2 linked regions of the Drosophila melanogaster genome follow. The protein of the gene in region 1 purifies or fractionates together with the protein of each later gene. This does not show direct contact. Each region holds a gene or a part of one and is shown in the gene's direction. Other genes may lie near its edges.

Region 1 (5,886 bases):
CCAGCTCTGTCTTCAAGTCCTGCATATCGCGCACCAATGTCAACAGGTGCATGTGCAAATTAGAGTTCCACGTGGCCTCCATGTTGCCGGGTATGTAAATGGACAACTTGCCCATCGTACCCTCCACTTGTTCATGCTCCAGTCGTATCATTTTGCATGTAGCAAAAACGTCAGAGAAGTCGGTGAGGCAAAGCGAAGAAGCCGTCATTGAGCGCATTATAGCCATCTGAAACTCTTCGAGCTTTAGGGTGGTCAGGCTTTGAGACCGTGATAAATTCAGCTCTGAGAAACTGAGCAGCGAATAAACATTGTGATGATTGACAAAGTAAGCCGTAATATCCTTGACCTTAACAGACACCCGCAGTGAGGTAGATGATTGTGATGGCTGCACGGACAATGTAAGGCCTGCATTTGGTCTGGCGTGAGATTGTCCCGACATATTCTTTGGTTTTATGCCCCGGTACTGCCGAAGGCACTCCATTGACTTGACCACGAATTCCGCAAGCTGCATGCTGTATTCCGTGCGAAATGTGTGCACTGATATGTCCAGTTTAGTGGTGTTTGCATACGAGCAGAGCTTGACCAAGCTCACTCCGAGGAAAAACGGCGAGCCTGGCGAATGAGTCTTTTTCAAGTTGTTGGTGTCGTTGATGGAGTTACCTAGATTTGACCAAAGAGTTTCCACCATGAGTTCCATGCTCCATTGTCGTTGATTCAACAACAAATTGAGGAACTTGTTCTCATAGAGATTACTTCGCTTTTCCTCGATCTGCTCCAAGAGGAATCTTGTGTGACTCACACTCATGGCAATATGCTCATCTTCCAGTTTCATAAGAAGAGAGACATTAAACAGTTCCGCACAGCCTTTAACAACAATTCGCTGCATAATCCACTCTAGAACTCCGCCCTCCCGTCGCTGATTCGCTCGCAGATTACTCTGCACAGCCGTGTCCAGATCCAAGTGATCCGGCAGGGACTTCTGCTTATGTATCAACTGCATTGGCTGCGCTTCGCTCGATCGCTGGCGGGCCAGAAAATTGTTGTTGACAAAGTCATAGATCTCGCTGTGATTATATATGATTTGGAATGTCTTCAGTTTTACATACAAGTTGAATATGTCTTTTTCCAGCTGAAAGGTATAGTATTATAATATTGCACTAATTGGGCCATAATGTGTTTACTTACCACAGAGTCTATGGTAAATTGTTCTACAAAGAGGAGCTTTTCATATTTGGTGTCAATGTCTAGATGATGAAAACCCAATTTGGCAAGCATTGACGGTAACAACGTCTTTTCATCGGTGACTTTCGAGTTAAACTTTCCCGAGATCTGTGCAGATTATGTATTATTATAGATTAGCTCATAGTAGTGGTATTAACCTACTTGAAACGACTGCAGTTTGGCACTAAAATCGTTCTGTGAGTTTTCTTTGACGGCCGAAAACGTTGCCGCCTTAATGCTAAAGTTAAAGTTCTTTGGTATAATGGGCGCCAGCTTCTCGTAGTTGTCATTGTCGTAGGACCTTTTCGAGGGAGCTAGGCCTTGAGTGGAGCGCCGAGATGGCTGACCGGTCGATGTCCTCCGCTTGGCCTCACTAAGGAACTCGTACAGTCCGCCGTGGATGACGGATTTGGCATTGTTGATGACCAGACTTAGGGTCTGCAAACGGGAATTAATAAAAGGAATACTAAGGAGTCAAAAAGTCACTTACATCCATGGACAGAGGGCCTTGGGCAAAGAGCGACGCATCCAGGGTCATGTCAAAGCTGACCTCGCCTAGGCAAGGACGAATCTTGTTCAGATTCTCCAGCGATTGACGGCGAGAGCTGCAGTGCCTCAGCATCTTGGCCTGTGCTTCGCTAAGGGCTGCATTGACCAACAGAACACGAGCATTTTGCACTATACTCCCGTCCAAATGAAGCTCCTTCGCCGTGGCATGGATGAACCACCCCGGATCAAAGTCATTGTTCATCAGAACCACTGATATGTTGTTCACGTGCACTGCCATAAATTGGGCAAAGGTGATAATACTCGCCGGCACCTTAGTTTGCCGGAAGTCTGGCACACCCTTCGCCTCCGAGGCTTTGCCCGCCAACGTCTGAGTCCGCCGGAGTTCGTAAGAGTCCTGGTCGTAGGAGTCATCCTGTCGACTGTGAATGTCTTTGTTGATGCGAATGTCACGGATATAAATGGAGAGCAGCTTGGTCACCTCGGTGGTGAAGAAACTGCTGCGCAGACACACCTCCTCGATTTGCTGTAAAATTAGGAGTGTTTATCGCTTGGTAACCAGAGTTCGAAGGTTATCCATACCACCGAGAATCCACTCTTGCTGATGTGCACATTCTTCAGGGACAAGTAGGGCAGCGAAATGCGACCGATCCGTACTTTGACCCGAAACCTCTTCACCAAATACCAACTAATGCCCGTGGGCAAGACCCTAAAATGGAAAGTGATCAATTTTTTATGTTTATAACGATGATGGATCAATCATGGGGCCACGGAACAGGCAAAACTAACCAATAAACGAAGATGAAGAGCGCCAGGCAGAATAGAAGTAGCTGTAGCATCATGTTGTTGCCTAAATACCATAGTGTCCCAACATTTATGTTGTGCTATTTATGTTTTGAAATTTTTTGACTAAATACTGAACAATTTACTAGTTGCGGCAATAGAGTGACCAATGCATACTATTCAAAAATACCACAATAAGCTATCAGTTTTTCAAATACTTAGCCCTTGCAAGACAAGCTTGTTCGCAAAATGCATAACTTAAACAATTACCGCAATTACCAAAATTTTAGTTACAGTGTATAAAAAGAAAATGCATTCTCAATTAGAAATTAATAATGCAAAGAAATGCATCCCTGTTCATGTGCGACTTTGACTTGTCGCATCAACAAAGCTCGTCAGGGGTTCAGGCTTTATTAAATTTCGGCTTTCCCCAGACGGTCACACTGTGGCTTTATATCTTTTAAAAATAACAAAATCAAAAAGTTATCTTATCGCTGCTCCCGCGCCCGTTATTCCATTGTAAGCATGCGAACGTGAAAATTGGCCAAAGAAGTCGCTATGTTGCTGCTGGAGCTGAACATTCTGACCCTGAATATATGGTGAGAGCAGGCATCTCCTTCTAAGGCTGCTGGAGCCCCACTTCCCTTGACACCGATCTGCACAGGCTAATCATGTGCACTTTCAGGGGCATTCCGTATGTGTCGAGTGATCGCAGACCCCGCATCGATGCCATCTGCAAGGAGCTGGCTAGCGGGAAGTATGACATCGTGTCCCTGCAGGAGGTGTGGGCGCAAGAGGACAGCGAGCTACTCCAAAAGGGCACGGAGGCGGTCCTGCCCCATAGCCACTACTTTCACAGCGGCGTGATGGGCGCCGGTCTGCTGGTACTGTCCAAGTACCCCATCCTGGGCACTCTGTTTCATGCGTGGTCCGTAAATGGCTACTTCCACCGTATTCAGCATGCCGATTGGTTCGGCGGCAAAGGTGTGGGCCTGTGCCGCATACTCGTCGGCGGGCAGATGGTGCACCTATATAATGCCCACCTGCACGCGGAGTACGACAATGCCAACGACGAGTACAAGACACATCGCGTTATTCAGGCCTTCGATACTGCTCAATTCATTGAAGCCACCAGGGGGAACTCTGCGCTGCAGATTCTGGCTGGCGACCTGAATGCCCAGCCACAGGACATCTCTTACAAGGTGCTGCTCTATACCTCCAAGATGCTCGACAGCTGCGACTCGGACTCTTTTCGGACCAACGAATGCGAACACAACTCATACACATCTAAGCAAGCACGGGAGAGAAATCCTCTGGGTATCCGTATCGATCACATCTTTGTGCGTGGTGGCGATCATGTAAATGCTGAGATAGCCGAATACAAACTGCCTTTTCCGGAGCGAGTACCCGGCGAGAAATTTAGCTTCTCCGACCACGAGGCGGTGATGGCCAAGCTGAAGTTATTCAAGCTGGAACCTAGAAGTGAGGAGCCAGTGGCAACGATCGAGGTGAACTGCCTGGTAGAGGATGGTGAAACCTGTTCCGTGAGGGAAGTAGGAGCAGGGGATGCTTTGACAGGAGAGGACGATCAGTCATCACAACACCAGCCGGAGATCCAATGCAATGGAAGCTCCACTTCCATTCAATCCATGCCCGCCGCTAGAACTGCTGCCCTTCTTGAAGCTCTGGCGCTGTGCGATGCTTCCCTGCTGCAGTTAAACACTGATCGAATACTGTACTACAGCGCCGCCACCTTCCTGTTTGTCCTCTTGGTCCTTCTGGTGGAGTTCACCGCCCCCGTGGGCATGCGCACTATCTTTCTGCTGCTCAAGTTCATCGTGTTTGGCGTGATCCTGTTCTGCGTCTTCATGGCCTCCATCTGGAACTATATGGAACGAAATGGGGTCCTGCAGGGCAAGAAGTCGATGGAGGTGATGCTGCACCACGCCCAGAAGTACGAGTACTTCTACTGAGGCTGTGTATAGCAGCCAAGCTCAATGCGCATTTAAAATCCACGTGTAGCGTACTATAAGCAGCGATATATGTTTGACTAGAGTTATAGCGCTCTTACTTGATCTTTTTATTCGTGTAACCGTCAATGCAATTCCATGGTCTCTTTCTGTGTAACGTCATCCATATCCCAGGAATAATAGTTCAATAAAAGTGAGAATCATTTAGGCAAACAAAGATTGATTGATCTAAAGATACCTTTTGTATCAACAATAATATAGTTTGTCGTTTAATAAGCAACAATATATATGGTAAGCTCATTCATGGTTATAGAAAATTTCATAACTACCGCCCCAAAGTATGCAGTACTTGGTCGCTACCCATTATCGACAAATAACCACAGAACTGTATTAATATTACGGTGTTTTTAATATTTTTTCTTTATTCTCGAGTAGAAAACAGCTCCGCATAGCCCCAATCTGGTACAGTTTATTCGGGCTTCTTTCCCTTAGCAAACTCGGCCTTCTTTCCCTTGACGGGGGCGGGCTTCTGGGAGCGCAGGACAGCGGAAGCGCGGCGGAGGGCAGCCTATAAGCACAAGTAAAATCATTAGAATAGGCCTAACACTGAAGTACGATAAGCTTCAGCTTTGAGAGCTTCAGATAAGTTTATCAACACGATCATTCTGCGATCTTGGTTGTGTAGCATTAAAAAAAAGATCATCATGACAAGAACCCAAACAGTTGTTTCTAGGCTTGGAGCCATAATCACCTGTGTCAGGTCCTTGCGGTACTTGGAGCCGATAAGCAGGTTCTTCAGCTTCTTCAGGGAACGGCGGGGACCGGCCTTGAAGTCAACACGCACGGTGTTCTTGGCGGGGCGCTGGGCATACTTGCCCTTCTTCAGCACGGCGGTGAAGCCCTTCTTGTCGGCAGCTGGCACGACTCCCAGGGTCTTCTTGTGCACGATGCCGCTGTAGCGGTACGAGCTCACGCTGGCCAAGTTGTTTGGCTCCTGGAAGGGATTTAGAAGTCAGTAATGTGCTTGTCATATCATAGTAGTGATGAAGCCAACTTTTATCAGATTAAAGTTACTATCATGTTGTATTCAAATATCATTGTGAAAGTTATAAGTTGGAAACATCATTTAAATGTGGTGCACGTTATTTAAATCCATATTTACTTACTGTGCTGAAGGGCTTCTTCACATCGCGCTTCTTCAACAAGAAGGCGTTGTTGTTGCGAATGATCAACCAATTGAGGTGCGAAGAGGTTGCCATCTCACGTCTGGAATAGAAGTTAAGAACATATTAGTAATTGCTCAGGAAAAAGCCATATTTAAAGTTTTTCAAAGGTATTTCAGTTTTGGGTGATGAATATAGTCTTCAAGAACTCTTCTGCTAAATCAATCCTCATTAAGCCACAA
Region 2 (4,840 bases), on another chromosome or scaffold:
TCCCTGGATCAGGAACGCGATGATCCGCCCATGGAGCCGGACCCGGAGCCGCCGCCAGCCATGCGCCGCTTCTTTTTCTTCTTGGCCGTCAGACTCTCCTGGCCGCTGTCCGTGTTGGAATCGCCGCCATCGTCGCTCTCCTCCTCCTCCGAAGACGAGGAGCTGCTCGACGAGGAGGAGCTTGAATTGCTGGAGCTGTCCGATGCGAAGCCGGTGCTCTCGTTCAGGTTAATACTATCGGCGATCTGGGCCAGCTCCGGTCGCTGGTCTCGCAGCACGCGCAGCCACTTGCGTGACAACTTTGGCCGGCCGCGAACAGTCTTGTGCCAGACGCAGGGGAAGTTCGTCTGCGAACTGAAGTTCTGGGTGATGGCAATGGTGTCGTCCATGTTGAGCACCACGTGCCACCAGCCGCCGGGCACGAATACAGTCTCGCCTGCTCCCTGCAGCACTTCGATGGGGCGGTATTGCTCCGGCCAACTAGGCAGCTGGGTGCGCGGATATATGGTGCTGAACCAGGTGATGGCCTCGTCTCGCTGCTTGCCACCCATGGCACTGGTGACCTTGAGCAGCTCCTTGGGCGTTTGGGTGGGGAACAGGCACCAGCGCTTGTGGCCGCGGATCAGCGTGTTCCAGGCACTAGTGCCCAGTGGATCAATGTGGATGCCGGTGCCGGAGCGAGCCGGTCCCATGACAAACCAGCGGTAAGGCGGACGACGATTCTCGCCGCAGTACTGGAAGAGGTCGTCGCGAAAATACTTGGGCACCACATAGTCATCCAGGAGCTTGCGCCGACGATGGTGTTCGCCGAAGCTGCTGTCGAAGATGTACAGCGGGCTGTCATCGCGCGTGCTCTGCATGTACTCCACGTAGTACTTCATCTTCATCTTGACGCTATAGCCCTCGTTGTCCTCGCCGCACTTGAACTTCTGGTTGCGATACTTCTTGGCCAGGCGGGCTAGTGTCCACTTTTCCAGCGCCAACCAGCCATCGGTGCAGCCGCGAATGACCACCGGCTTGTAGGGTCGCTCGAAGCGTTCGATGAACTCCGACTCCGGCACCTGCGACTCCTCGATCCGCTCCAGGTTATCGGTGAAATCCCAAAATGGCTCGAACTTCTCACAGTACCGCATGGCCGACCAGGCATTCTCGCCGTCCAGCTCCGGACGAGCCTTGCGCTTCACCTCACGTGTGCGCTTGCGGGAACGCTTGGGCAGCTTGAATTCCTCGCTCATCCTGCTGAAATTGGCCAATTTTCCACAGCTCCTGGAAATTAAAGCAGCGTGAGTGCAGTGTGGCCAGACGCCGCAGGTTCGAACATGCTGAAAACGCGACGCGGGACCGCACCTGGTCACTCAGCTGGTCGCCAGACAAGCACTCCTTTACTGGTTTTATCAGATGTTTACCGAGTAAACGGACATTTTCAAAACATTTCATTATTAAAGAATTGTACACAGGTCCAGTATGAACCAGCCCATACATAAAAGAACCTAAATGGTAGTAGTGCGCTACTACCCCATGTTCCCCATGTTCCAAACTCAACCGTTCCCCCACCAACGCTCACTTAAATTTAACCCTCGCGAGTGTAAGTTGTATTTTCATTGAGAGCCAGGGCTGCAAGACTTTAAGGTGACCAGCGTTTGTTAGCCAAATTCAAAGTACAAAATAAATAAAATTAAAAATAAAACTATTGTGAGCAGGATCTTTCATACTATCTGTGCTAAAGCACAGGCCTCAAAAGCAATGCAAAAATTAATGGATAAATAACTTAAGATAACATCTTAAGTATATCATACGATATACGATAGTGGAAGCCCTGGTTCGCTACGATTTCTCATGTGACAGCTGTGGGCGAATGAAAATAATGATAAGCCAAGTCGGACGAGGTGGAGTTTTTGAAAAGCAGTGTAAAATCGTTAATAACCAGGTGCTACCAACTCTTCCAGAGCTCTACAAGGTGCCGCTTCGCATTCTAGACCATCGCGTGTTCGTAAACGGCGAGATCGAGGCCTTTCTTGAGAACTTCGAGGTGCGGCGCAACGACAGCGAAGTGGAGAAACTTTTCCAGGTCACCGAAACAGTGGGATCTCTGAAGTACGATCTGTCCCGGTGCAGTGCAACCGGAAGGGGTAGCGGAGCCGAGAACCTCGCCCAACTGGACACGGAAGTCAGCCATCTGCTGGACGGGGTCAACGCACTCTTGGCGAAAGCGAAGGTGGAACGAACTGTTAGTGGGCCAGCGTAATCTCCGCCTGTTTATCATTGATTAATTGGTCTTCCGTTCGAATTGCAGGCTAGCACCCAGTTGCAGGAGGCGCGACTGGCACGTGAGCAACGCCGGGCGGAGTTCCTAACCAATTTGGAGCACGGCTATCGCCGAATCGAGAACTCATTCGAGGAGAAGGAGGAGGAAATCGCAGAGCTTTACTCAGATTTGCAACTAAAGCTTAACATTGCCAAGTAGAAACTATGCTGAAGTCAACGATTGTTGATCCGCGGGTGCGCCTTGTGCCGTCAAAGAAGCTGCTTGACTTTCTGGACGCCCAAAAGAAGCACTTAAAGGAGTTGCCCGAAAATGTGGCCAAGATTATGAAGCAAAGAGGCCACACACTGCCCACCTCTATTAGGATTATCAAGGATGCGGGCTTGGAGTACAAACGACCAAAACTCAATTACGAGCTGTTGACAAAACTAACTGAAAACCTAGCCGACAAACCAGAAGAACCTGCTAAGGATAAATCGGAACCAGATTCAGGGGTCAAGGATAGTGATGACGCAAAGTCAACAAGGGAGGTTAAACATTTCCTATACTTAACCGACCTGCACTGGCTCTCAAAAACACTGGCTGAACTGCGTCGTCAGGATCACTGCCAAGTCTTTCTGCATCAGCTAATTGAGTCCTGTGATCTGCTCCTGCCCGAAAACGAAATGAAGCCGCGCAATCCTGAGCTAGAAGCGCGCTGCCAACGTCTTCGCGCAGAGCAACAAAATCGGGATTACCTCAAAATGACCAAGAATGTGGATGCCGGCTTAAAACACTATCCAGAGGACACTATCAGCTATCAGAGTAAGTGAATACGCCCAGCTTGTTAGATCCGCCCTTTTAAAACCTTTTTCTTCTTCCCTTCCCTTTCAGTTAAGAGCCTTAACAAGCAAATCATTGCCGTGGTGCAGTTCATCTTCTCCGTGGCCGCTGGCTTTACGTTCGGCTTTTTCGGCGTCAATTTGATGGTGGGCCCGCTGCCTTTCGGCTTTCGCATCTTGCTGGGCGTGATTGTAGCGCTCATCATAGCCCTGGCTGAGATGTACTTCCTGGCCAAGAAGCTGCACGAGTACGATGAGGTCTTGGACGCGCCCAAACGTAAGCCGCAGCCATCGACGCCGGCTAAGCGCACCCCGCCCGCCGAGGGAAGTCAAGTCCAGACATTGAAACCCCATGTTGACTAGATAGATGATCTGCGAGTAAAAATCGTTCTTTGTCGTTGTATTATTTCGCTTTGCAATGTTAGGTTATATAAATAGCTGTAAAAGTTTTATTCTTTCGGAATCGGGGACTTGGATATCGATTATATGCTACGTATGCTTATTTCGACCGTGAATGCACACCCTATTCGTAGTGGTTCGGCTGTGGATTGGGGTTATTCCAGCCCTCGTCCACGGCATCAGATCCTCCGCGACCCAGCCAGGCCATAAGATAGACGAACAAGACAAAGGCCAAAATGCCGGCGGTCACCAGGAACCAAGTGCGACGCCACGGCGGCCGCGAGGAGGGCGCATAGAAGCGGCGTGTCCATCGCGAGAACAATTCCGCAGGAGTGCGGCGCTGGTACTTATTATCGTCTCGATCTGTCCCACCAATTGGCGACTGACGGGGCAGCAGCGGTCTTCTGCTGCTGGCTGCAGGTGCGTAAGATTATAATTATAATATGACTCAAAGTGTATGCTAGATTATGCGCACCGTAGTCGCCCGCACTTGGGGGATTAAATGCATCCATTAGGAGCACGGAATGTGGGCTCACGGCGTCATGGCCATTGGGCTTCGTGCGCTCTCGCTCGCCACCGGAATGGATGTGGTGCACTTTGGTCATGTTGCTGACAGCCGCCTGGCTTGCCACCTTGGGCTTAATGGCCTTCAGACTGCTGCTCTGCTCCTCAGAGAGCTGGGAAAGATTCAACATTTAAATTGATTACAAGCTTACTGCCCGGAATGCTTACCAGGGCGAGTCCCAGGCCATTTCTGCCCCAGTTAACCTGCGACAGGAAACTCTTCAGAGCATCGGCCACCGGGGAGACCAGGTTGGCGTTGGGAAAGATCTCCACACTGCAGGCGGGGCACTGGTGACCCCGAGGGGCTGTGTTGGCAGGCAGTGCGGCTTGGCGGGCGTTCAGGCAGTCCCAGTGGAAAACATCTGGAAATGGCAGGATTATGGGTAAGTGTGTGGTGTCTGGATTAGCTCAAAACTGGCAGATCCCTACGGTAGCAGACGAGGCGCACGCAATCGCCCTGCTCCAATGTGGTGCCGCACAGAGTGCAGTTGGAGATGTAGTCGCTGTCCCGCAGCCACTGCAGATACGACTGCACAATGCACTGAAAAAGAGTGGATATGGTGTATTCCAAGCATCCATAAAACTAGAGGACAGGAATCCTTACCTTTGGATGAGACTGAACCATACAGTGTTCGCAAACATTGACTCGATGCTCAAAGCAAAACTGGTTGGTCACCAGGCGCTTGGGGCACTTGCACAAACCCATTTCCTTAAATTCGGGGTTCCTAAGGCGGCGGAGGAATTGCACTTGGCGGCCTTGGGACAGCTATCGCATAATAACGCCTCAATAAAA

What was found. Proteins that work in one complex are often made in the same cells at the same time.
Region 2: the proteins of nSMase (region 1) and CG7071 purify together in Drosophila melanogaster (affinity purification with mass spectrometry, with the first as the bait; one large-scale study listed by BioGRID). This does not show direct contact.

Annotation. Positions count from the first base shown.
Region 1 is NT_037436.4:3,216,235-3,222,120, forward strand, and holds nSMase (neutral sphingomyelinase), read left to right. Parts: upstream 1-2,921; 5' UTR 2,922-3,069; coding exon 3,070-3,110; intron 3,111-3,196; coding exon 3,197-4,484; 3' UTR 4,485-4,691; downstream 4,692-5,886. Other genes in the region: hob (hobbit), read right to left, coding at 1-1,129, 1,186-1,329, 1,384-1,659, 1,712-2,254, 2,311-2,437, 2,518-2,570; RpL28 (ribosomal protein L28), read right to left, coding at 4,951-5,049, 5,233-5,475, 5,648-5,740.
Region 2 is NT_033777.3:22,361,061-22,365,900, forward strand, and holds CG7071 (uncharacterized protein), read left to right. Parts: upstream 1-1,559; 5' UTR 1,560-1,855; coding exon of another isoform or gene 1,856-1,886; exon of another isoform or gene 1,887-1,946; coding exon of another isoform or gene 1,947-2,227; intron 2,228-2,293; coding exon of another isoform or gene 2,294-2,464; 5' UTR 2,465-2,469; coding exon 2,470-3,067; intron 3,068-3,136; coding exon 3,137-3,447; 3' UTR 3,448-3,520; downstream 3,521-4,840. Other genes in the region: JMJD6 (jumonji domain containing 6), read right to left, coding at 9-1,235; muted, read left to right, coding at 1,856-1,886, 1,947-2,227, 2,294-2,464; CG5382 (uncharacterized protein), read right to left, coding at 3,608-3,897, 3,959-4,160, 4,216-4,409, 4,477-4,588, 4,652-4,753.